Linked DNA regions of Lepisosteus oculatus. The protein of the gene in region 2 interacts with the protein of the main gene of each other region in a pairwise test. Links are inferred from orthologs where the notes say so. Each region holds a gene or a part of one and is shown on either strand. Other genes may lie near its edges.

Region 1 (7,883 bases), on a different chromosome or scaffold from region 2:
CTTCTCCACTGACCCTAGTGCAGCGAGGAAGCAGCCCTGCGGTAGGTAAGGCATTGCCTTAATCTTCCTTGCATAAAACTTTTTTATTTACCTTTGAATCCAGTGGGATTTCTTCTTTTATGTTCCAGCTGAAATCCTAATGAAATGTGCATTTCTGAATTTGTATTTTATTAGCCACAAAAGGTATCAGTTATGACTTGTGTCACTAATGTCGCTCTTCCATTAAAACTTAATTTGTCCTGCATTCATTCAGTTAACACTGAGCATTGTTTAGTTAGCTGCATCCAAATTCTACAACAATATGTTATTTAATTCCTTTCAACACAGCCTCCCAGTGTTCACCAGAGCTCCAACTGCAATGTAAAAATTAACCAGGTGTAAACTTCAAAGGAGAGATAAAGGTATGCTCTCCTGCACCACTGCAACCAAAAACACACTTGGTGGATGCCTAAAATGTGTATTATGTGATTATCACACTAGATAAGTGCAAGTATAGTATATGTGAGAATTCAGTATGGACTATTTCATATGTTTTATATTTTAAGGGCTCTACACTCAGCCTGCAGAGAATATTTCACCTCTAAGACTGAGCTCCAATATGATGTCTTCAAATCTATTTCACACCCATGTCCTGCTGCTGCTCTTGGAGAGAGGTGGGTGCAGATGTGAGATTCTGTTTTCTGGCGTAGATGTTCAGAAGCACTCATGCTTACGTACAGTAGATGTGTTGTCTCCACAAGCTGTCTTATTATTCTACATGATCTGGTCAGATGTCTAGAGCAAACCATGGTTCGGTTTCGGGTCTCAGTGCCTGACCTCTGGCGACACTGTTGCTGGTCAGGCTGGTTACACTGCTTACGCCCAGCTAGATAGATAGTTCCAGTACTTCGGTAGCCATTGTGTGGTTTGGGAGGAGATGCTAAACCACATTTTTGGCTACAGTATTTAAATGTCATTCATTCTGAATTGCCGGTTTGTGTTAATTCACCATTTAACAATATCAAATTGTCTTATTTTGAGTCTTCTTACTCTTCACATTATTTTGCTGATTTTAATGACCTTTTCATGCCTCTTTCTTCAGGGTGTCTCTGCAGCGCTGGTATGCTCTGTGAGGGATACTGGGACGCCCAGGGCCTTCATCACTCAGGGTTCTACTGCCCACGACTTTCTGACCCGCCAGAGCAATCTTACTGCTGTCAGTGGGGAGAACACTCCCTCAAGGACTGCTGCAACCAATCACAATTCCAGAGAACCATGAACGTCAGCCAATCAGGGCGCAGCACCTCAAAGATGGTTCACAGGTTGGTGGCGATGCTGAACTGCCATAGGCTTAGAAACCTGTTCCTGAATCATCCCTCACATTTCTTCTTATTCTCTGTGTCTTATTTCTGCTTTATAACATAGCCTATGTGTTGCTTGATGTTGGTCAAGGACGGAGAATCTTCCTGATCAAGCCTCAGCGCGTGCTGCTTGTAAAGAAAGCAAATTGAGTCACAGTTTTTAAATTTCAGCATTATTTACTTTATTTTAAATTACAGCACGTATTTTCTAGGAGAGAATTGGATATGTATTATAGTGTAGTATAAATCTGTGCAAGTGTAAACAGTGTAACAGGATCCTGTTCTGCACCAAGTACAAATCGGAGTCAGCAACAACGCAACATGTTATCCATATGAAAACAATAATAAATGTAGTGTCTGCACTGTGTTGTCACACTCATAGAATGGTGGAAAAAGCCTGCCTGTTAGATGATATATTCAAAATGCTGTTATTGCCTGAGCTAGGAGAGGAAGATAACACAATTCCTCAATAATTCATTCACAAGCTGTCTGAGTTATTCCACCAACAGATGTAATTCCTGGGGCTGAATTAATTTCCCTTCATTTGGTAAAATACTTTATGGAAGACATTGCAATTTTGTGTAATAAGCAGAAGATGTTGAAATATATCCATTCAAACTGAAATATTAATCCATAATAAAGTGTTATTATTTCTGTCTTGTTAACATTAACTTATGCTTCCTTAATATTTAATCATTTTTATTATTAAATAAAATGATTATTTTTAAATTTGTTTTAAGAGATTGAAATATCTCAGTGGGATACAAATGGGAGGCTTTATTGTAATTCTTTAAAATTGTAAAATGTATAACAATGACAAAATTTCATGTAGTATTTCTGAGCATATCTAATCATAAATATATACTACTTGTGATTATATGGTAGGTACTGAAATGTACTGAATGGATGTGAAATTGGTTCCTCTCTGCCCTCTTTTTTCTTTCTCCCATCAGCCGCCCGCTCTCTCTTGTAGCTGTTCTGCTTTATGGAGCTCTAGTCGTGTTTCTGATGGTTGTGGATTTTCTGTGGTTCTGTCGCGAGCGAGGTCTCACTGTCACGGCAGCTCTGAGAAACTACTTCACCTGCCTCAACTGGGCCACCAGCCTCAGTGCTCCTAATGGCAACCAGCCCCAGCGTTGTCATGGCAACAGGAACCCATCTCCTCCACATAGGCACAGGAACCCGCAGAGTCTTCCTTGTCTCCAAGGCAACAGGATCTGCCAGGCTTCTGACACAGGCTTCAGCAGCAACCAGAATACAGAGCTTTCTCACCTGGACCCTGAAGTGAGCAGCAAAAGGACAGAGGATGATGTGAGGTGGCCAGAGGAGTGATTACCACCCCTTGCTGCATTCTATGTACAGTATATATAAATGCAGGTACACCGGTAAAAGAAGACGTATTTTGTGAAAACAAACATATATATATATATTTCACTTGTATTTTCATTTTTACCAGACAAATTAAAACAGAAGACGAGGTTTAATCCTGCTTCTTTTTATATACATTATATACTTCAGAATTACATGCATTCAAGTGTTTTCAATGATGGTCAAAGCCATCAGGTTTACAGTCAATTCAAGTGCATCCCTCTATATTTTTTATTTAAAGACCTCAATTAGGAACCCTGTAATCAGGACATGTGTGTAGAATTGAAGTGGTACACTCACTTTCAGTAGAGAAAGTGCCAAGCTTTCACAAGAGGAGTATTATACAAAAAAGGCTCCACAGCTAAAATATTGTTTTTGATTCGTTCTTCTTTTATATTTCAGTTTGGAATTAGCCTCTATTTTTACCTATAATGTCATGTATACTCTGTTTTTTGGAAAGCTAAAATTGTATGTAACCCCTCTGCAGTAGAAATAAAACAAAAACATAATGATTATTTCTGAGTGCCTTTCAAGTAAACAGTTCTGCACAGTAGAACGTGTACACTATATCACAGCAGCAAAAAGAAAGTGGAAGAAAATTTTGTGAGATGAAGAATCGAAATACTGTAAATAATACTGTACATTAAAGGCTTTAGTGAAAAGATGGGTCGTTATGTGAGTTTAAAATGTGTTGACAGATAGTCTTCAATGCAGCTGGTGTAAAGCAGAGTTTAGAATAAGGGGTGGACTATACTAGTGCAATAAATCCTTGAAATAATCTGGAGCTAGACCTTTCAGCGCTTCATACTTTAGTTAGAAGACCTTAAACCAGTGAAATTTACAAGAACTTAAGTTTCAGGATAGTAAGTGTGTGCTGAATTAGAATTCTTTTGGTTAGATGAGCTTCTGAATTCTCAACATCCTGAAGCACATATGGCGCCGTGGGAGTACATACGACGGTTTCAGCTTGATGAAATAGAGGCATCAGCACCACACCAGCAGAGCATGGGTCTGAACTGAGCAATTTTATGCAAGTGGAAGAAAGATAAGCTTTGCGACACTCCTTATGTGCACTTCAATCAACAACGCTAAAATTCCTGAGGAATAACAACAGCCGAGAATTAAGTGTATTGTAATGTTTAACTCTTTTAGCCAGAATAGATTTGGCTCAACCCGCTTGGCAGAGGGCCAGGCTCCTGGCCACAGGACGAGGAGGTCGTGCCCCCTGCAGAACTTGGGGGGGGGAGGAGCTCACCTATATTATAGTAATATGATAATATCATGCTTGGGTGATGAAATGACATCAGGATTGATTATGAATTACTGGTAGCTGAGGCTGATTGAACTTGGCTGTCTTCATCTCTCCTAACATTTCGTTACAAACTCCATTAGTGAAGTTCCCAGTTCTGAATATTGAGTAGTGGGACAACATCAGACATCAGTGGGACAACATCAGTGGGACAACATCAGATTTAAAACATCTTCACTAATTGGCTCCAAATATGAGCCAAACCAAGGAAGAGTGGGAAAAAGATGAATGTTACTGTGATGCGGAAGAGTGCTGTATCAAAAGCTTCACTTTCATCTAGGATTAAAAGACACCCAAATTCGTTACATATTTTAACAAGGGCTGTTTCTGGGCTACATCTCAGCCAAATGTCTGACTGAAAAGGTTCGAAGAGTTTATTAATCGAGATTATAATCGAGCTTTCATCATCTGTCCCAAACGTTTTCGTGACAAAAGGGGCTTGATCCAATTTAGGATTTAAAGGACTTAAAATGGTTTAACAAGGTGTAAACTCTCAGACAAACCGGATTCTTAACACACTGAGGAATTTTACAAAGAAAGATACTGTAAGTGAACTTTAAATATAATTAAATATAGATATTTATTTACTGCTTCAACACAATTTGCATGACACTGCATAAAATCTGAAATATCCCATGCATAATACAGTTTTGCAAATGTTGGCTCTCTAGAGTGCAACTTCCAGAAAGGTAATTCAGTAAGCTTTTTTTTTCATGAAAAGAATGTACTGGAACCAGACTAGTAGAACAAAATGGTTCAGATAAACCCACTGTCCGACAGCATCTCTTTCTCGCTGCCTTCTATGGCGATGGAACGTGCAAGTAGGCGGGGTTTCGTTAGAAACGTCATCACGCCGCTCCCAGAGAACAGGAAGGAAGAGAGGTTATAGCTGTCTTGTGCTCGCTGGTTATATAGCACATAAACTGTAGAGCTCGCTATGAAATGAGGAAATAAAATCGGTTATAGAGTAGTAGAACTTTGGAGACGCCGCGTGGAGCTGTCCGAAACTCGGCGAAGGCAGCGAGATATCTTGGCAATAAACTGTGCGATCATAGAGAATGAGTGTAAACGGCAAAGACAAGGTACAACCTTATCTCGCCTGCTAGCTTCGTAAATCATTCATTATGTTTGCCGTAACTGTAGGTTTGGTTTTTACCGGTTTACACAAAAATCAGTAGACTCCGCTGTTCCGTTAGGTAAACACCCACCATGGAAACATTGTGCAGAAGCAGTCGTGTAAAATACCTCAGCTGTGTAGAACGCCTAATCTGGGTTCACTTGTTACAGACTTCGCACGTATTCAAGTGACGCCGTGACTCTAACCAAATCAATCTGTTAATTTGCCTGAGCCAACATCTATAGCTTTTATTTTGATTATCATATTTAATGGCTTTAATAACTAATGGCCATTGCCATTACTTGATTCGGTAGTTTGGTATTGGTGTCAAATATAATCCCTTAACAGAAATTGCGCTCTGGATTCCAGAGCGGCCAGTTACAGCTCCAAATCCCAGTTATACTGCTGTTGAGCCGTTGAGCAACGTATGTATCTCGAAGTGTACTGCTAACTTGCCCAGCTGCACAAATGAGTACTCTTCTGGATGTCATTTCAAATGAGATTTTGCTCCTAGTTTGTCCTTATAGCATTTGAAGGAAATGTGATCTCTTCCTCTGTTTTTAAGGGGTGGTTAATGGCTTTTTAATATATTCTTAAAGAAGTAACAGTAGAGGCCAATGAGTGGCACAGGGGAGTTTGTATGGGCTCCAAATAATCACACAGGTTTTCTTTGATTGTCCTGATTTTCTCCCTCTTCCCAAAGACGGTTCGGTTGATTGCATGTGCTGTATCTCCCAATTCCAGGAGGAGAACGAGCAGCGTTCCTTTCATTCATCCTGCTTGGAGTAGCTCTGCTGTAGTGCCAACCCCAGCATGGTGGGGTTAAGGATCTATAGGTCGTTGATGAAGCCCAGCCCTGTCTAGTCTTGTGCTGTAGGTGTCCTTTAGCAGTGCTGTCTGCTTTGTGTGTCCCAGGACCCTGCTGCCCTGCGGGAGGATGGGAACAGCCTGTTCAAGAATGGAGATTACCAGGGAGCCCTGTCCTGCTACACCAGGGCCCTTAGACTAAGTGACAGCCAGGCAGAGAGTGCTGTCCTGCACCGCAACCGGGCAGCCTGCTACCTCAAGCTGGAGGACTATTCCAAGGCAGAGGCCGATGCTACAAAAGGTACAACTTCTAAAATGAAGACTAAGCCTTTCACACGGCGCTTCTGATGTGACCAGGCCTGAAAAGCAATCATTTCTGAGCCAGCCTAGAGTCTGCGAGAGCAAATTAGTCTGTACTGACGGGTAAGCTCTGTTCTTCACTTGCTGCCTGCTTGGTCTTTTCCCTCTGGCCAGCGCTGGACGCCGACCCCGGGGATGTGAAAGCCCGGTTCCGCCGCTCACAGGCGCTGCAGAAGCTGGGGCGTTTGGACCAGGCCTTCTTGGATGTCCAGAGGTGCGCACAGATGGAGCCCAAGAACAAGGCCTTCCAGGAGTCACTGCGGCAGTTAGGAGCTCAGATCCAGCAGAAGGTATCGTGCATGGGGGTTTATCAGCCATTATGGTGCATACAAAATGTTTACACTTTATGAATTAAATTGACAAAAAAACGGGGCTGACTAATAGCTAGAGAATTAACTAGTCAAAAAACTTATAGCAGTCATCCACCAGGTGGGGCTGCACACTGGTGGTGGTGGTGGAGGGGATCCCCATTATCTGTAAAGCACTTTGAGTGGAGTGTCCAGAAAAGCACTATATAAGTGTAAGCAATTCTTATTATTACTACTCAAATAAACCCTTTAATTCACATTGTATTCCCAAATGTAAATGCTGTTGAAGGGGTATTAAGACTGAAGCTGGTATCTCTTTGCTCCTGTCTTGCTCACAGGCTCTACAGCTCTCCTCCACAGATGCTCGCGTACAGCAGATGTTCTCTCTCCTCTTGGACTCCTCCTCACAGCCTTCCGATAGGCAGAAGGTGTGGTATTGGGGGAGGTCAGAGATCACTGGGTAGAGAAATGGGACAGGTTTTTTGTGGCCTTTGCTGTTCATGTTGAAACAAAGACATCCTGATCTATTCATGAATGCATAACCTGTTTGTAATGTATAATGAAATGTTGAAATCAGTAAATGTATACTCTTAGATTCTGCCTGTTTTGGATAAATGCCTTTCTTTCACCAGAGCTATATCATACAAAGCTGCAAAGCGTCAGTTAAAAAAGGCAGCTCTTTAGTTTTATATCTTCGAAGATATATCATAAAGAGTAGTGTGGATTGAGTTGATTGAGAGCTTCAGCGGTTCAGACTGGAGGAGTTAACAAGACAACTTTTTGGTATTCTTGTCACATGAGATACTTAGGGCCAGATTTTATGTTAGACAACTAATAGCTCTCATCCTGTTTCTGCACAGGCGGCTCAGAACCTAGTCGTGCTGTCTCGGGAGGAGGCAGGTGCAGAGCAGATCTTTCGCAATGATGGTGTGAGGCTCCTGCAGAGACTGCTGGACTCTAAGCAAGAAGACACGACATTGTCAGCTCTGAGGACACTCGTAGGACTGTGCACTGGGCATCAATCCAGAGTGAGTAATAATTAATAATAATAAATTATTGCTTACACTTATATAGCACTTTTTCTGGACACTCCACTCAAAGTGCTTTACAGGTAATGGGGATCCCCTCCACCACCACCACCAGTGTGGAGCCCCACCTGGATGATGCAACGGCAGCCATAGTGCGCCAGAACGCTCACCACACATCAGCTATCAGTGGGGAGGAGGACAGAGTGATGAAGCCAGGTCAGAGATGGGGATTATTAGGAGGCCATG
Region 2 (7,226 bases):
TGTGGTAAATGGAACCATGAATTCTGCTGTCTACCAAAAAATCCTGAGGGAGAATGTCCGGCCATCTGTTCGTGACCTCAAGCTTAAGCGCACTCGGGTTCTGCAGCAGCACGATGATCCAAAACACACCAGCAAGTCCACCTCTGAATGGCTTAAGAAAACAAAATGAAGACTTTGGAGTGGCCTAGTCAAAGTCCTGACCTGAATCTGATTGAGATGTTGTGGCATGACCTTAAAAAAGCGGTTAAGGCTCGAAAACCCTCCAATGTGGCTGAATTACAACAATTCTGCAAAGATGAGTGGGCCAAAATTCCTCCACAGCACTGTAAAAGACTCATTGCCAGTTATTGCAAACGCTTGATTGCAGTTGTTGCTGCTAAGGGTGGCCCAACCAGTTATTAGGTTTAGGGGGCAATCACTTTTTCAGACAGGGCCATGTAGGTTTGAATTTTTTTTCCCCTTAATAATAAAAACCTTCATTTAAAAACTGCATTTTGTGTTTACTTGTGTTATCTTTGTCTAATATTTCAATTTGTTTGATGATCTTTCAGTGGGAACATTTCAGTGGGAAAAAACACTTTTTCACACCACTGTATGTGTATAATATATTTAAGGATCAAATACATGTAGATAATGTAATGACTTCAGGTTCACTCAGGATAAATGACAAGAGGAGACGGTGTAGGCACACAAGCACCTGCTTTTATTTCCTTTTACACAACAAAGACAAAAATACAGGATTTACATACAGATTAGGGGACAGACGGTACATGTTAGGGTGGTAACTGTTTAACTGACTCTACAAACTTAACTTATGGAACACTAAGCTTCAGAGAACACGTTAGCTAACGCAGGTCTATTCACATAGCAGGGTCAGTTGCTGGTCATCTTATGGACCCCCAGACATCCCCTGGCTACAACTCCCAGCTGGTGAGGCAATACCCTCAGCAACTTGGTGCACTTCCTCCTCACCACCGGGCAAGGGCGCTACACTTCCCCCACTTGACTCATACCAGGCTGTACTCATAGTCAGCTAATGGCTGTGGAACCCTGTGTGAGCGGCCGCTGCACCGCAGAGCGGATTCCCCATAGTCAGCCTCCCTGCCGACCTAGTAGGGTACCAGGTGGTCTCGGTGTAGGACCACCACTCTCCCCCGCTTTCGCAACCGGACACGGTGACAAACCTTGCCCACTACCCCTAGGATCTCAGCGGGTCACTCCCAGGACAGTGCCACCCCGGACTGGAAGGCAGGCCCCCTGCAGAGCAGATCGTAGTGCCACTTTTGCCAGATCCCTGCCTGAGTCAGGTGAGTTCGAGCAAAGCTGTGCACTCGCCACATCCACTGCTGCAGGTCCCACATCGGTCTGGCCGGCAGTGCTAGCCCATCTCAGGGCGGGGGAATCAAAGGCCAGATCACATCTCCTGGCCCAGCATGAGCGAGGCCATGGTGCACCAGGTAGATTTCTGGACCGCAGTCCGGTACGACTAGAGCACAAGGGGGAGGTGGCGGTCCCATTCCTACTGATGCTGGGACACCAGGGTGACCAGCTGGGTGGCAAGCATCCAGTTGAACCGCTCCAGCAGCACATCACTCTGGGGATGCAGTGGGGTGGTCTGTGTCATAGAGATCCCCAGGTGCTGGCACACCCTGGCAAAGACCTAGGACTAGGAAAGTTACACCCCTGGTCACTGTATAACTCCTCTGGTACCCCCAGCCTGGCAAACATCCCTCCAGTGAAACATCGGCAACCGTAGGGGCACTTTGGTCTGGGAAGGCATAGGCCTTAGGCCTCTTGGTGAATAGTCCACTTTCACCAGGACGTAGCAGTTCTCGCACTCAGTGCATGGAAACGGGCCCAAAATATCCACCCCTACTCGCTTTATCGGAGCCCCCACCTGGTGTTGTTGGAGGGGGGCCCCCACTTGCTGCAGCAGGTCCAACCCCAGGATGCAGTCCTCTTGAATGGGTGCTAGGTAGCAAGGGGGGCACACTGTCGCTGCACCCAGACGGATGGAGAGTGTCTGTTTGCCCCGGATCGCGGCAAGCTGTCCTGTCATGGTCCTCAGCCGCAGGTCGGTGGCCTCCCATCCTGGGGGATTGGTGCCCTCGGTGTCGGGGAAGATGCCAGGCCGGGGTAGGGTTACCGATGAACTGGTGTAAAGCAGGGCCAGGCAGTGCTGGTCCTCGATCTGGCAGTGGAGGTACAGGCCCCAGCTTCATTCTACATGCCCCATGGTGGTGTACGGGGCACCAGTCTTCGCGGTGCTCTCTGAATCGGGGGTTGAGGTCTTCAGGGGTGGCCGTCCCTATGCTGAGCTATCCTGCTCCCATTTCCTGACGCCGACCTCGGAGTGCAAAGCTCTGGGGCCCGGTGTCCCCTCTTCACACAGTATCGACAAAACAGCTGCGGGGCTGCTCTGCGGGGGTTACTGCACGAGCTGGCTCCTCTTCCCCCTCACTGGACTCCTCTGTCGCTGCCTCGGTAAGCCAGCAGGGCACACTCCATCTGCTGGTGCTGCCAGCCCCACCGAACACGGCCAGCTGTAAGTGGGGCTGCAGCTTTTCGGGTAAGAGGGCCTTGAGAAAGGCCTGGAGAGCCATTTCCAGCTGCGTCTCCCGGGGGAATGCTGGGTATCCTCGGCAGGTGAGGAAGAAGACATCAGCTACGACCGAGCCCACTTGCTTTCCCAGTCAGCGCCGCCACAGGGTCAGCCTCTCCTGTATCAGGTCCGGTGCCTCCTCCACCCCGAAGCGTAGCTGGAGAGCGTTGCATAGTCAACCCCCCTCCTTCTCTGGGAAATCCAGGAGCACCTGGCAGGCTGCTCTTTCCAGCGCCGCCGCCAGCTCCGTCTCGGCCCGCAAGCTGGAACTGTGCCTCATACGTCTCCCATGACGCTTCCCCATCAAAGCGACTGGGTTGTACCCACACCGGAAGGTGCAGGAACAGCTGGCCAGCCCCTGAGGAAAGCGCATCCCCTCTCTGCAGTGTCTGCTGGACAGGAGTAGTGGGGATTCACTCCGCTTCCCCAGGCGGGGCCACTACTGGGCAGCCCTTGCAAGGGCTGTGGCCAACCGTTGCACCCAGGAGTTGCTCAGGCTCCAGGTGTTCGCTGATGCTGGGTCCGGTCTCTTTTAGGGTCTGCTGGCGCTTGACAGAGTCTGCTTACATCTGCCACGGGTTGTCCATCCTGCTCGCTTCTGACACCAATTGTAACGACTACAGGTTCACTCAGGATAAAGGACAAGAGGAGATGGTGTAGGCACACAAGCACCTACTTTTATTTTTTTTTCACAATAAAAACCAAAAACTAGGATTTACACACACACATTAGGGGACTGATGGTACACATACACAGGTTAGGGTGGTAACTCTTTAACGGACTCTACACAATTAACTTATGGAACACTAAACTTCAGAGAACACTTTAGTTAACACATGTCTATTTAAATAGCAGGATCATTTGCTGGTCATCTTACGACAATTCCCGGCTACAGCTCCCAGCCAGTGCTGTGATATCCTCAGTAACTGGGAGCACTTCCTCCTCACCACCGGGCGAGGCTGCCACAATAATAACTATTGCAGTACTGTTATGTACTGTACACTAATAATTCAAGGTACTGTGATTGTTTCACTTGATCCAGCAGCATGAATGAATAGCTCTTATATTTACTGGGGGGTTGTGCATTGTAGGTTTAGGACTAAACCGGGGCATTCTTTTGCTCTTCAGCCTGCTTACCACTACAGAAACCCTGAGTAAGTTCTGGCCCTATAGAACACTTACTTTTGTGAAGGTTTGAATAAAACAAAGGTTATCTGATTAGCATTGTTTTGCAATGCATTCGTTTTGCATCCAACTGCGTTTTGCAATGCGATGAAACCAAGCACTGTGTGCAAATAATTGTTAGAGTTCATACATCACTGTTTTGAATATATGTCAGTTTTACTAATAGATGACCTTCATTGTAATTATTTTTCCCGGTTATTTTTAATGTCGTTGAGTCGTGTTTTTAACGTAGTCTAAATGGTTGTTCACGAAAGACGACTAGTTATAGCTTTCATTATTCTGAATATTACGAATGGTGTATTCTTTGCTCATAATTCTCCATTACTAATTAACTTTTGAGTCTTTAACAACCTGACATTTACATTTATGAAGGGGATAGGACTTCCATCCTTCCCTCTTCGGAGAGTAGAGCAGCTTATGCGCCAGCTCTGTCGCCTTTGCTTTTCCTTTTGCATGGGTGGGAGGAGCCGGTTTCCTGCGATTGTCTGTCTCTTTTTTTTTCTCTGAAGTTGCATATTCAAAACCTTAGCCTTTTCACTGAGCAGCCAGTGTTTGTGCTGCTAACCAGCAGATCAGCAGTCAGATTTGTTCTTGCTACGCCACACGGAGACTGCGTTTGTGTTGCTTTCCTTCCTGGCTAGGAGCTCTCCTTCACTGCGTTTTTCTCCAGGCTTCAAAGATGACAGGGGAAAGGATTGTTTGGCATAGTAAGCTGGTAGGTGACTGTTAGCCCTCCCTTCAGTGTGTGTCTCTTCTTAGTGTTTCTGGTTCGTGTCAACACTCTTTTCCTGAGAAAAGCCAAGAGAGAGTGAAGCAAAGCCAGACGTTTAGATGACTGCGTAACCAGTGAAAGAGTATACCAAATACTGGAGCAATTCAAAGCATATTTCGGTTCTGATAATATACGAGGAAAATAATCATATATTATGTACTATATATACGATATATAGCATGTACTATAAAAATGCCAAGCATTGCTTGATTACCTGAAGACAGACTTACATTTACTGAACTTTTTCTTTCATTCTGTAATGCATTCTGTCGATAATTTTCTAGATTTTGGGTGTCTATAGGACTGGTAACAATGTAAATTATTTTTTGGGTTGGTTTGCAATGTCTTTTTCCTTAGCGATGTTTAATGTTTAGCACTTCTAAATGTTAACATTTAACTGCACGAAAATAGAATTATAGTAACTTGTTCACGTTTATAAATAATAACTGAAAAAAACTGCTGGGTGTAGGTGGGTTTTAAGGCAAATGCACGGCTTTATCATGAGACGAGGTGATTGTGTTGGTGTAGATTTTCTGTAATCGCCTGTACGCCCAGATGTGTTCCACCTTTGTGCCTCTGAGAAATTGTAGTATCAAAGCTACGGTTTTTGAAAATGATGTCGCTGGTGTTTTGTTCACTTCATTATAAAGGTAATGGCAAAGGATACATATATTTATTTCCTCCCAGAAAAGACTTGCAGATTTCTGTCAGTGATTACACCGATGTAAAGTAAATTATATAAACATACAGTATCAGTGTTTTCGTGTGACAATTACAATAATGGCTGTATGATATTGTGAACATTTTATATTTAGCATTCACTCTTGACGCGGTCTCGGTTTTCATATTTTTCCTTTTAAAACACCCTTTAGATTTTATGTAATTAATTTTTATTTAATAATCGAATAACGTTATAAGACGGCAATGATCTTGTTAACATTTGTGGTAAAATAAATTGGTTCATTTTGTTCCCGTAACAAGTTTCTGGAGGTTAAGTGTTTAATTGTTAAGGACTTTAATAAAGATTAAACATTAAGAAAAATCAGTACTTGAATTAGTTCATCATGATCAACTTGAGATCGAAACATTTTAAACGAGTGACATACTAAAACGAATAACAAAATTGAATGACCATAGACTATAATGGGGAAAAAATAATTTAATAGGCTATAAGCCTTAACAGAAATAAAACCATGATTATCTTTGCTATTAAGTATTCCAATACTTAGAAAATCCTAACTAAATAAAAAATTGATTGATTGATTGTTCTTTTCTAATGAATGACAAGGGAAACAAAAAAACATGAAAAAGTTAACCTTTTGAATAAAAAAATCATATACAGAAAAAAATAATATTCTTACTCAAATTGCATGTTCATAAATATATTTTCTATGAAATATCCTAATGTAGAAATAGTTATTTTCTATGGAATGATGGGTATTTAAAAAATATGTGTAAATGGAGATGGAAACAATGCTGAAAATATCTGGAACCATCCAGATTCTGAATTCCATTAATATTAATTTTTTGAAACAAATGTTTCTTGAATAAGAAGACCTTTATTTTTTATTTAAAAATTTAAAGCTATTAATGACATAATGGTTACTACCGAGTGCCTGTTTTTTTCTGTGCAATAAATTATTCCAACAAGGAAGATAAAGGTCTGTCCAAATAATAAGACTTATATAACAAAAGACATTAACATGCCACAAATATGAGGAAGCTTGCTTTTAAGAATAAAGATGTTGATGAAATAAAACAAGACTAAAAAATAACAAATGGAGAATCTTAGGCAAAGCACGCATTTAAGCAGCATTTGGAGGATGTTTTTTTTTTAAAGCTAATAGCTGTAGAAGACTCTGGGAAAGAGTATGGCAGGAATGTCTGCACTCAGGAAGCTGATTGTGAATAGTAAGTTATGAATGCTTTTCTGTCAGGGTGTCTCGGAGCAGGTAGTTGTCCGAGGATCCTATGCATAGCTGTGAGCTCTGCCGGTTTAAGAGGTAAACAATCCAAAATCGTAATCCAAAAAGTGAGATCAAAAGGGAAAAGTCAAATCCAAAAGCCGAGTAAGCCAACAAGAAAATACCGTGCACTAGAAAACTTAAGAGGCCTTACAATAGTGAGCGGGGTTTGGTGAAGGAACTTTAAATACTGAAGGGAGAGGAACATGGTTGTGTAATGGGTTCAGGAGTGAGAATCTGTGGAATCTGGTGCCTGTGAGAATGTGATTGGTTCAGTTAGGAGTGAGAGCATGAAACAGTGCGTTTGGGAATGTAGTGGGGTTTGCGAGGGCGAGTGCGGGATGTGACAGTATCCCCTTTTAGGGTCGGCTCCTGATGACCCCATTGAGCGTTCATGGAAGAAGTCATCAATGAGGCCATGATCCAAAATATCTCCCTCGTAAACCCATGAACGCTCCTCAGGGCTATAGCCCTCCCAGTCGACAAGAAACTGCCCTCGGCCCCGGAGCCAGTGGGTATCCAGGATCTTGTTAACTGTGTAAGAACGTAGGCCGTCAATGATTTGTGGAGGAGGTCGAGGTTGGGAGAGGGGAGATCTGTGGTAGGGTTTCAAGAGAGAAACGTGGAAGGAGGGATGCACCCTGACAGTTGGAGGGAGGGCAAGACGATAGGTGACAGGGGTGATCTGGGAAAGGATGTGGAA
Region 3 (7,637 bases), on a different chromosome or scaffold from region 2:
GCCCTGCGCCTCCCATCACCCCTCCACATGACACTGTTGTCGTACCCGTGCTGTCCTCATGCTGACCGGTCCTGCTGGCTGTGCCCACATGTGACGCCGTACACCTCACCTTTCGGGCCTGAATACCAGTGAGAGCCGATACTGCAGCAGGATCTGTTTCCTTGCCAGCGAGTTTCTCTTTCAATTTCCCCCATGATTTTCAAGCCTTGCTTGGAAAAACGAGTCTTCTAGATCAGCGCCAATTGTCCCATCAACCCTTCAGTCCAAATCGTTATGATATAAAGCATGATACTCAATTTACCATGAAACCCCTTTTGAAACAAACATTTAAATACAAACTGAAAGTCTTAAGGCGCTCTAAAATTAGATTTTCTTGGGCTTCTGTATAAAAAATAATACCTTTTATATTTAGGACAGATGCCGCAGCAGTTCTACCTGCGGAGTGCATGTAAAGTTAAGTGGCTACAGTTCTCATATTAGCTGGCACTATAATGTATTTATTTAGGCTGTAACATTTTCACTATCCCCAGCAGACGAAGAGCTACATGTGGCAGTGTTTTATTTTCCTGTGTCCCTGTGTACGTCTCCTCTCTCTCTCTCATCACCCTCCCCATTCCCCCCCCCGACAAGTCTGGGCTCACGGCACACAGCCTCCACAGCCCCGTCCCAATGTTGTCTTTACAATTAGCTGTAGCAGTAACCACGGTAACCACAGTAACACCAGCTGGAACGCTGACATCCCCTACTGCTCTATCAGGGCTGATAAAACAAGGGGTCAGAGTGACAGAAACAGGCTCCGTCAGGGACCGGCCAGGGCCGCCTGGTCAGGCAGCACAGCAGCTCACCGAGCCAGGCACGACACAAGAGCCACAAAACAGCATCAAACAGGGCAGACAGCTCCTGTCCCCCTTTCTAACCAGGCAAGCAGACAGAGGAGATGGTGAAAATTTAAAAAGCACGCTGCCTTCAATTCACCCAGACTGGGGTGCACACACATACACACACACAAACAACCTTGTACACAACGGGAAAATGGAGAGGCCCTGCAGTGCTTCTGTCAGCGGGAAACGGATGTTTTCCTGCACTTGGAAAACAACTCAAGCCAACAATGCTGCAACCTGTTGGCAATTCCCCGACCCACGGCGCCGCAACGCAGACCTTCTCAGTGTTGCCTCTGCTGTATGATATTGATTACAGCTGTGCCGAGATGGGGGAGATAATGACCAGGATGGAGACGCTGACATGCATGCAGAAACGTACCTCGATCATAACAGGGCAATTAAAAAATCACCCATCGCAAAGTGCCAGCAGCAAAACAAACAACAGCAAGCAGGCAGATCAATTCCTCAGCAAACACAACGGAGCTCCCTCTGCTTTTCACTCAGGAGCACCGGCACACTAACGACAACAGGCAGGGCTATAGCAGTGTCGCCCCTCCTGTGGGCTTGTTTTGCTACCAAACCGCATTTGGAATGAAACCTGCGAAAGGGAAGCCGACTGGGAAGGGAGGAGGTTTTTTTTTTTCCCCTAAACCCTGCCGAAAAAACGGCGCCTTTTGGGGGGCGAGGGCACTACGGAAACAGACACAGCAGGTGAGGAGTGGCTGGGTTAAAGGCTGAGCGAGCGAGGGAGCACGAGGGAAATGGTCCCAGCGCCAGCCGGATGGAGCCAGGTGACTCTGAGGCGCCGGCGTGTGGTGGTCCAGACCTACCTGGATGTACGACATCGTCGCTTCAGTCGCTCCCCGTCACCCCAGAGCCTGTCCAGGACACCATGCTGCTCCTCTGCTCCCTACCTTGTCCTCAGAAAGAGAGGGAAAATAAAAGCACCAACAACAGCAAGCGCCTGTCGCGACTCGTGAGAGTGATTTATCTCTCCTCAGCCCGGGAGCACCTCTCCATCCTTACACAATCCATTCCAAGAGTGACAAGCCCCCCCAACACACACACACCTCCCCTACCCCCCCCCTCCTTTCCCTCTCTCTCCCTCCCTCCCCCTCCTCTCTCCTCCATCCCCATCCCCACCCACAAGCCTCTCTCTCTCTCTCCCCGGCTCCGGCTCCTGCCTGCTCCAGCCTTGCCCAGTCCTCGCAACTGAAGCACTTTCTCCAGCACTGCGCTCACACACAAATCCTTCCCCCCGCCTGCCCCTTGTTCTGCCATGTTCGCTTTATGATTCATTCAAGTTGCTGGAACACAGGCAATGTTGAAAACATGCAGGCCTTATTACATGGTTTTATTTAACACTGGGCATTTTGACCCAGTCTTAGCTGTGACCTTTCAGCTGCTTTCTCCTTGACTGGGAGTGGGGCTTCATTCGCTGGCTGCCTGAGTGACAGAGCACCCTAATATCCTGTGTGCCACAGTGAGTCCGGACTGGGGTTCGCTCTGCTGGCTTCCCAAGCTGACTGTAGGTGCGGGGGAGTGGGGTGCCGGTGGTGCAGAAATGGGGTGCACGCTTGCTCGTTTGCTAAGGGGCTGTAGGTTGGACTGCTCGGTCCTCGCCGCGGGGGCCAAAAGTTCGTTGTCATGGAAACTATTTCCCCCGAGCCGTCCCGGTCGCTACGAGAGGAGCTGACCGACCTAAACCCCGGCACGCAGAAGTTTTTGACGGCGATGTTAACTTAATGTCCAGTTTACACTTCTGCATACCCCACACAGCTAAGGTTTTGTTATTCCAACGAATTAATGCCTGAATTGATCAATCAGTCGTATCGATTAATACTCACCCGTCAGGACAGATCGCGTACATTTTTTCCAAATCCGCCTGCTTACCAGCTACGCCTATACCACCAGACTATACAACCAACCACCATTCACATCATTTGCAGCGCTCCAAAAATCAATAGCATGAACAGAATGCCGATTATAAAATCAACTTGGAATGTGCGTTGTGCATAGCATTTGTACATATATAATTCTCATACCGTACCCTAATTGTAAGTTAATACAAGAATATATTTTTTACTGGAAAGCATACAAGACGTTAAAGTACCCCTGAGCGACAATTCTCTAATCCGCTGAAAAAACAACAGGCTGCTTTAAGAAATAAATGGAGACTTCAGACGGAGCAGTCCTACAGCGACTCCTGGTGTAAATAGGAGACATGGTTAATAAAAATCGAATCGGGCTGTGGATGAGGATGAATTTTAAACCATGCATCCTATTAAATGGCACAAAACCCCACACTGACTGAGCAGGGATTAAAAAAAAACCCAACATTTCATGACCGGAGTGTAATTTGTCTTACCTTTGAACAAAGTTGCAGTAAATGCTCTTCGGTTTCTAAGAACCCATGGAGCGTGTTTTCTTCCTGGAGCTCACTGAACCGGGGTTCACTTCCTGCAGGTTTTTTGATGAAAACCAGCTTCACCAACATGGCTGGGCACCTTGTTCCAGACCCCCACAACCCTTGGTGTAAAACAGTGCCCCTCATTCTCAATTTTAAATGCGCTTGGCCATAATGAAGCTCATTTAACTGATGTTATACTAGTCCCCAAGAAACAAACAATAAGAAAACAATAGCATTTCAATGCAATTGTGTTACTTCTTATCAGCTGAACAAACACTTTGCATGCAGCCTCCCCTGGCTTGAAGAAATCACATATACAGGTGACTCCTTTTTCACCCCATTGCCCCTGTTCCTCAGGCGACTCCTGTGTAGAGAGACACAACAAGGGAGACATGACAACGAACATGCCGAGCTCTCCAGCAGCGTCACAGACAACTGTCCATCACCTTCCTGCCCCTTCAGAGCTGTCTGACTGGATACTCAGTCCACTTTCCCCTCAGTGCAGTGATGTCAGTCCAGTCAAGTGAAGACTTTCCAGTGCAGTGATGTCAGTCCAGTCAAGGAAGACCCATGCATGACTGGGCACTCTTGCTCCTACTGGGCCAGTGCATTTGCAGGTTTTCATTCCAGCCTCATCTCTTAACAACCTAAATCAGCTCAATACTGGCTCATTACTGGACCATTCTACCAACTGCTCCCAGCTCTTAAGATGCTGCTGCTTTAGAGAGACCTGGAAAACATGCAGACACACCAGTCCTCCAGGACCAGGTCTGTCCACCCCTTGTGTAGCGCATAATGACTGTCCAGGTCTGTGTGGTAATTACAGTCCAATCCAGTAATCCAGTCCAGTGTATTTAAGACAGTCCAATCTAGTAATGACCATACACTCCATTAATGACAGTCTGGTCAAGTCAGTCTAGTGCATAATGATAGTGCAGTTCAATGTGCTAATTGCAAGCCAATCCAGTAATGACAGTACAGTAATGATAGTCCAGTCAACACAGTCTAGTGTGTACAGACAGTCCACTTCAGTGTGGTAATTTCAGTCCAATCTAGTAATACAGTGCATTGCATTCAAGATCTAGTGACAACTACAGCCCAATAATGACAATCCAGTCAAGAGAGTCTAGTTCAGTTCAGTAATAGCAGTCCAATCTGGTAAAGACAGACCAGTCGAATCACGAGTTCCTACAGAAGGGCACTGCCACAGCTTCCTGGGTGCAGCCCAGCTGAGTTAACCTCAGAGAACTCATGGGCTTGCCACCACAGCTAGTGCTCATACATGGAAGGAGATGTAGAAATCCCCAGAGAACATTGCACGGTGCTTGTTATTGTGTAATGCTTTTAACATGTACTCAGAAAGCAAACATTGCGATACTGCCCCCAAGCAAAATTCTGTAAATTAAGACAAAGGGAATGTGGCTTTTGGAATGCATTTATTATGGGTTTTTTTAAATGTGCAATGCTCCTATACATAAATACATATGCATTATTAAACAGAAAGTGCCCAGACATTTTTTCTCAACAGCTGGCAAAACAAAATGTAAAACCCAGCCTAAACTGGAATGCACAAAACAGACACAATAACACTGTCCTGAAAACAGCTTCTGTCAAAAATCCTTCACAAAACTGGACTTAGCTGCAGTCGAGATAGCTGGGCTTTGACATTATGAGGACTCACAGGCACAGAGGACTGGATCCTGCTGGGCCTCTTGAACCCAGCACCTGCTTGAGGAAGACAACATGCAGCCAGTTCAATAAAACATTTGCTCAATGAAGCCACCAGTAACACAAGGTGGGACAGAGAGCGCTGCACCTCTGCAGAAGTGGATCCCAGCCTGCTGCGACTGAGGCGTAACTGCTTCGGCTGCCTTTGGTATATGTTTGTGTTGCCACCCTGCACTTACAACTATAAAAAAAAATAAATTAAAAAAAATAAATAAACGCGACGTGTAGCAGAACCCTTGTAAGTTCCATCTCCATAATGTCGACAAATAAAAAAAGAAATAAAACATTTTTTAATATAAAAATAAGAGTGAACCCAGACATGAGAATCCTTCAGTCAGAATGTTTCCTTTGTTTTTTTCAAGTCTTTGATCGCCATGTGGCCAGTGAAGCTCTCGTGATGTGGCACATAATGGGCAGACCACTGCAGCCAGGCACATTAACACTGCTCGTGTCACACAGGCTGCTTAGACTAGAATTCTGCAGCATTAGCCATAATTTGGTAATCATCTTTAAATTTGCATTGCAATCTCTCGAATGTACCATGTGCCTCCATCGAAGAGCGCTAATGCTTCCTTATGCAGTATATAAACACCTATAGATTTCTCTCGGCTCTGATATCTGTGTAACGCAACTTTCAGAAAGAATGTATTAGTATTGGTGAGTCTCCTTTGAAGTCTGGCTTAGCTACAGATCATGAATGTGTTTGCATTTTTCTCTTTAGGTTTCATACATGCTGGTGGAGGGAAATGCCAGACCCAAGGGGGAACTAAGTATTGTTGCTATTGCTGGAAAGGAATTAGAATATAAGGACACAAAAAGAAGGTTACAGATGACAAGAGGCAATTTGGCTGATCTAATCAGTCCAAGGATCCTGAAAGAAGCCAAGATAATAGCTTCAACCACACGGCTGGGTAGTTCGTTCTGAAGGCAGGCTGGCTGCACTTGATTTTAAATGCGCAATGAGCAATGCTCTGTGCACTGCTTACACATACTATAGTTTCTACTGGTGTGGAAACATTTTAAGGAAAAGGACATTTCTAGAGAGAAATGAGCTAGGTCAAGCAACAATGCGTTATAGAACGATTGTCTATTTTCTGTCTCAAATTCTGAATTAAGATTCAAACTCCATGCTGCTCCATCAGTGTGTGTTGTGCAGGTCCCCCACACTGCAACATTTGCAACTGGGGAATTTCCAGAACTGTCTTGAAAACAGAGTTCCTGTTTGTGGGCCTCAGTCCTAAACATTTTAACCCTTTGTCTGCTCAAGCAGTAGCTTTAGACATGTTCACCAAAAGAGGCCAGTTTCTTGTATGGGAGAATAAGGACGCCATATTTTCTCAGTGTTCAGTGAAGATTCAGCTAGAGGAACCTGCAGTTAATATGTTTTTTGTCCTAAATTCTGTTCTCCAAGAGGAACAACTGAATGGAATTAACTGAAATTCCAGTCCAGTCAGCTTTGCTCCTAGGAGCATTTTGCTGTTTATCAGCCTTCTGTGGATAATCCCTGGAGGCATGGGTTCAAATCCCACTCAGGTCAGAGGCCAGATGCCAGAGGTCAGAAGAGTTTGGTTACTGCGGTCATCCCATTTGCCCCATGTGGCCAACTTTCCTCCAGGTGGCTCTTCTTACCAAAACTTAACTGAAACACATGGGACTTCAGCTGCTATTTCTTCACTGTAAAGGAACTTCAGTTTAAATGCACATGAACCACACCAGACTGAGCCTTATAGCTGATACTCAAGGAAAGTGCAAATGCACAGCTTATAGTACTGAACAGAAAATGTGTTTGTCCCTCTCTTAGAAAGCTTTATCACAGCATTAGAATGCCTGTTTCAGTTGAAGTCTGAAGTTGCACCCAGATACAGGCCTATGAGTTACTTGCACAACGTGACTCACTGGAAATGGTTGATCTGCTATTAACTCCTTGAAGGCAGAAGGGAAAACAGCACAATCATGAGGCTGAGGGACCATCGAGGAGAACTTCAGACACAACAGAAGAAGCTGGGAGAGGTTCGCTCATCTTGTGGAATTGCTCTCTCTGGCCAGCCGTCAGCCAGACTCCCACAATGGGCCTCTTGATGCTGACAGTGGGAGGAGAGACTGATATTGGTCTTGAGAGCCTTTTTGCTGTCAGCACATGACCGGGTGATTCAGTGATTCATACCAGCAAACTAGAATACAGAATGACTATTCATCATTTTAAAACTAGGGTTGCTGAAGGCACAGAGCATGACTTTCTGTTTCAGATACTTGTTTAAATATACCACTTATAATGCTAACTGCTACTATCATAGACATGATTATCTGTTAACGTTTCTCCCTTGCTCATCAGAAGAGTGCCAGTGGCAAACTTCAGGTTAATTTGAGAGTGCCATTTTTTTAAAATGTCAGCTCTCCAAGTTCCTCAGCCTGCTTCCTTTTTACTAATCTGCAAGACCAACTATGCAGCACACTAAAAAACAGCACAGCTGAAGGCATTCTGAGTTTCTCAAACACGGGCGTGGATCATGTCTTTTGGATTTAAAAGCTTTGAATCTGTCATCAGGGCATAACGGCTTATTCAAGTACATTCTGACCAGCTCAGAAGCAAGGCTAGACCTGAGTTATCACGTACTGTA

The links.
Region 1: the proteins of mid2 (region 2) and unc45a interact in binary tests that used the Homo sapiens proteins (3 or more experiments, as listed by UniProt). The two-hybrid records come from large-scale screens. The link is inferred for Lepisosteus oculatus from reciprocal best matches to the Homo sapiens genes MID2 and UNC45A.
Region 3: the proteins of mid2 (region 2) and syt17 interact in binary tests that used the Homo sapiens proteins (3 or more experiments, as listed by UniProt). The two-hybrid records come from large-scale screens. The link is inferred for Lepisosteus oculatus from reciprocal best matches to the Homo sapiens genes MID2 and SYT17.

What each region holds. Positions count from the first base shown.
Region 1 is NC_090700.1:60,912,217-60,920,099, forward strand, and holds the start of unc45a (protein unc-45 homolog A), read left to right. Parts: upstream 1-4,883; 5' UTR 4,884-5,075; coding exon 5,076-5,099; intron 5,100-6,049; coding exon 6,050-6,242; intron 6,243-6,415; coding exon 6,416-6,591; intron 6,592-6,947; coding exon 6,948-7,037; intron 7,038-7,469; coding exon 7,470-7,637; intron 7,638-7,883.
Region 2 is NC_090703.1:28,285,514-28,292,739, reverse strand, and holds the start of mid2 (probable E3 ubiquitin-protein ligase MID2), read left to right. Parts: upstream 1-4,216; 5' UTR 4,217-4,502; exon of another isoform or gene 4,503-4,506; intron 4,507-7,226. UniProt on the Homo sapiens protein: E3 ubiquitin ligase that plays a role in microtubule stabilization. Mediates the 'Lys-48'-linked polyubiquitination of LRRK2 to drive its localization to microtubules and its proteasomal degradation in neurons.
Region 3 is NC_090714.1:15,302,986-15,310,622, forward strand, and holds the start of syt17 (synaptotagmin-17), read right to left. Parts: upstream 3,001-7,637; 5' UTR 2,729-3,000; intron 1,943-2,728; exon of another isoform or gene 1,796-1,942; 5' UTR 1,727-1,795; coding exon 1,712-1,726; intron 1-1,711. UniProt on the Homo sapiens protein: Plays a role in dendrite formation by melanocytes.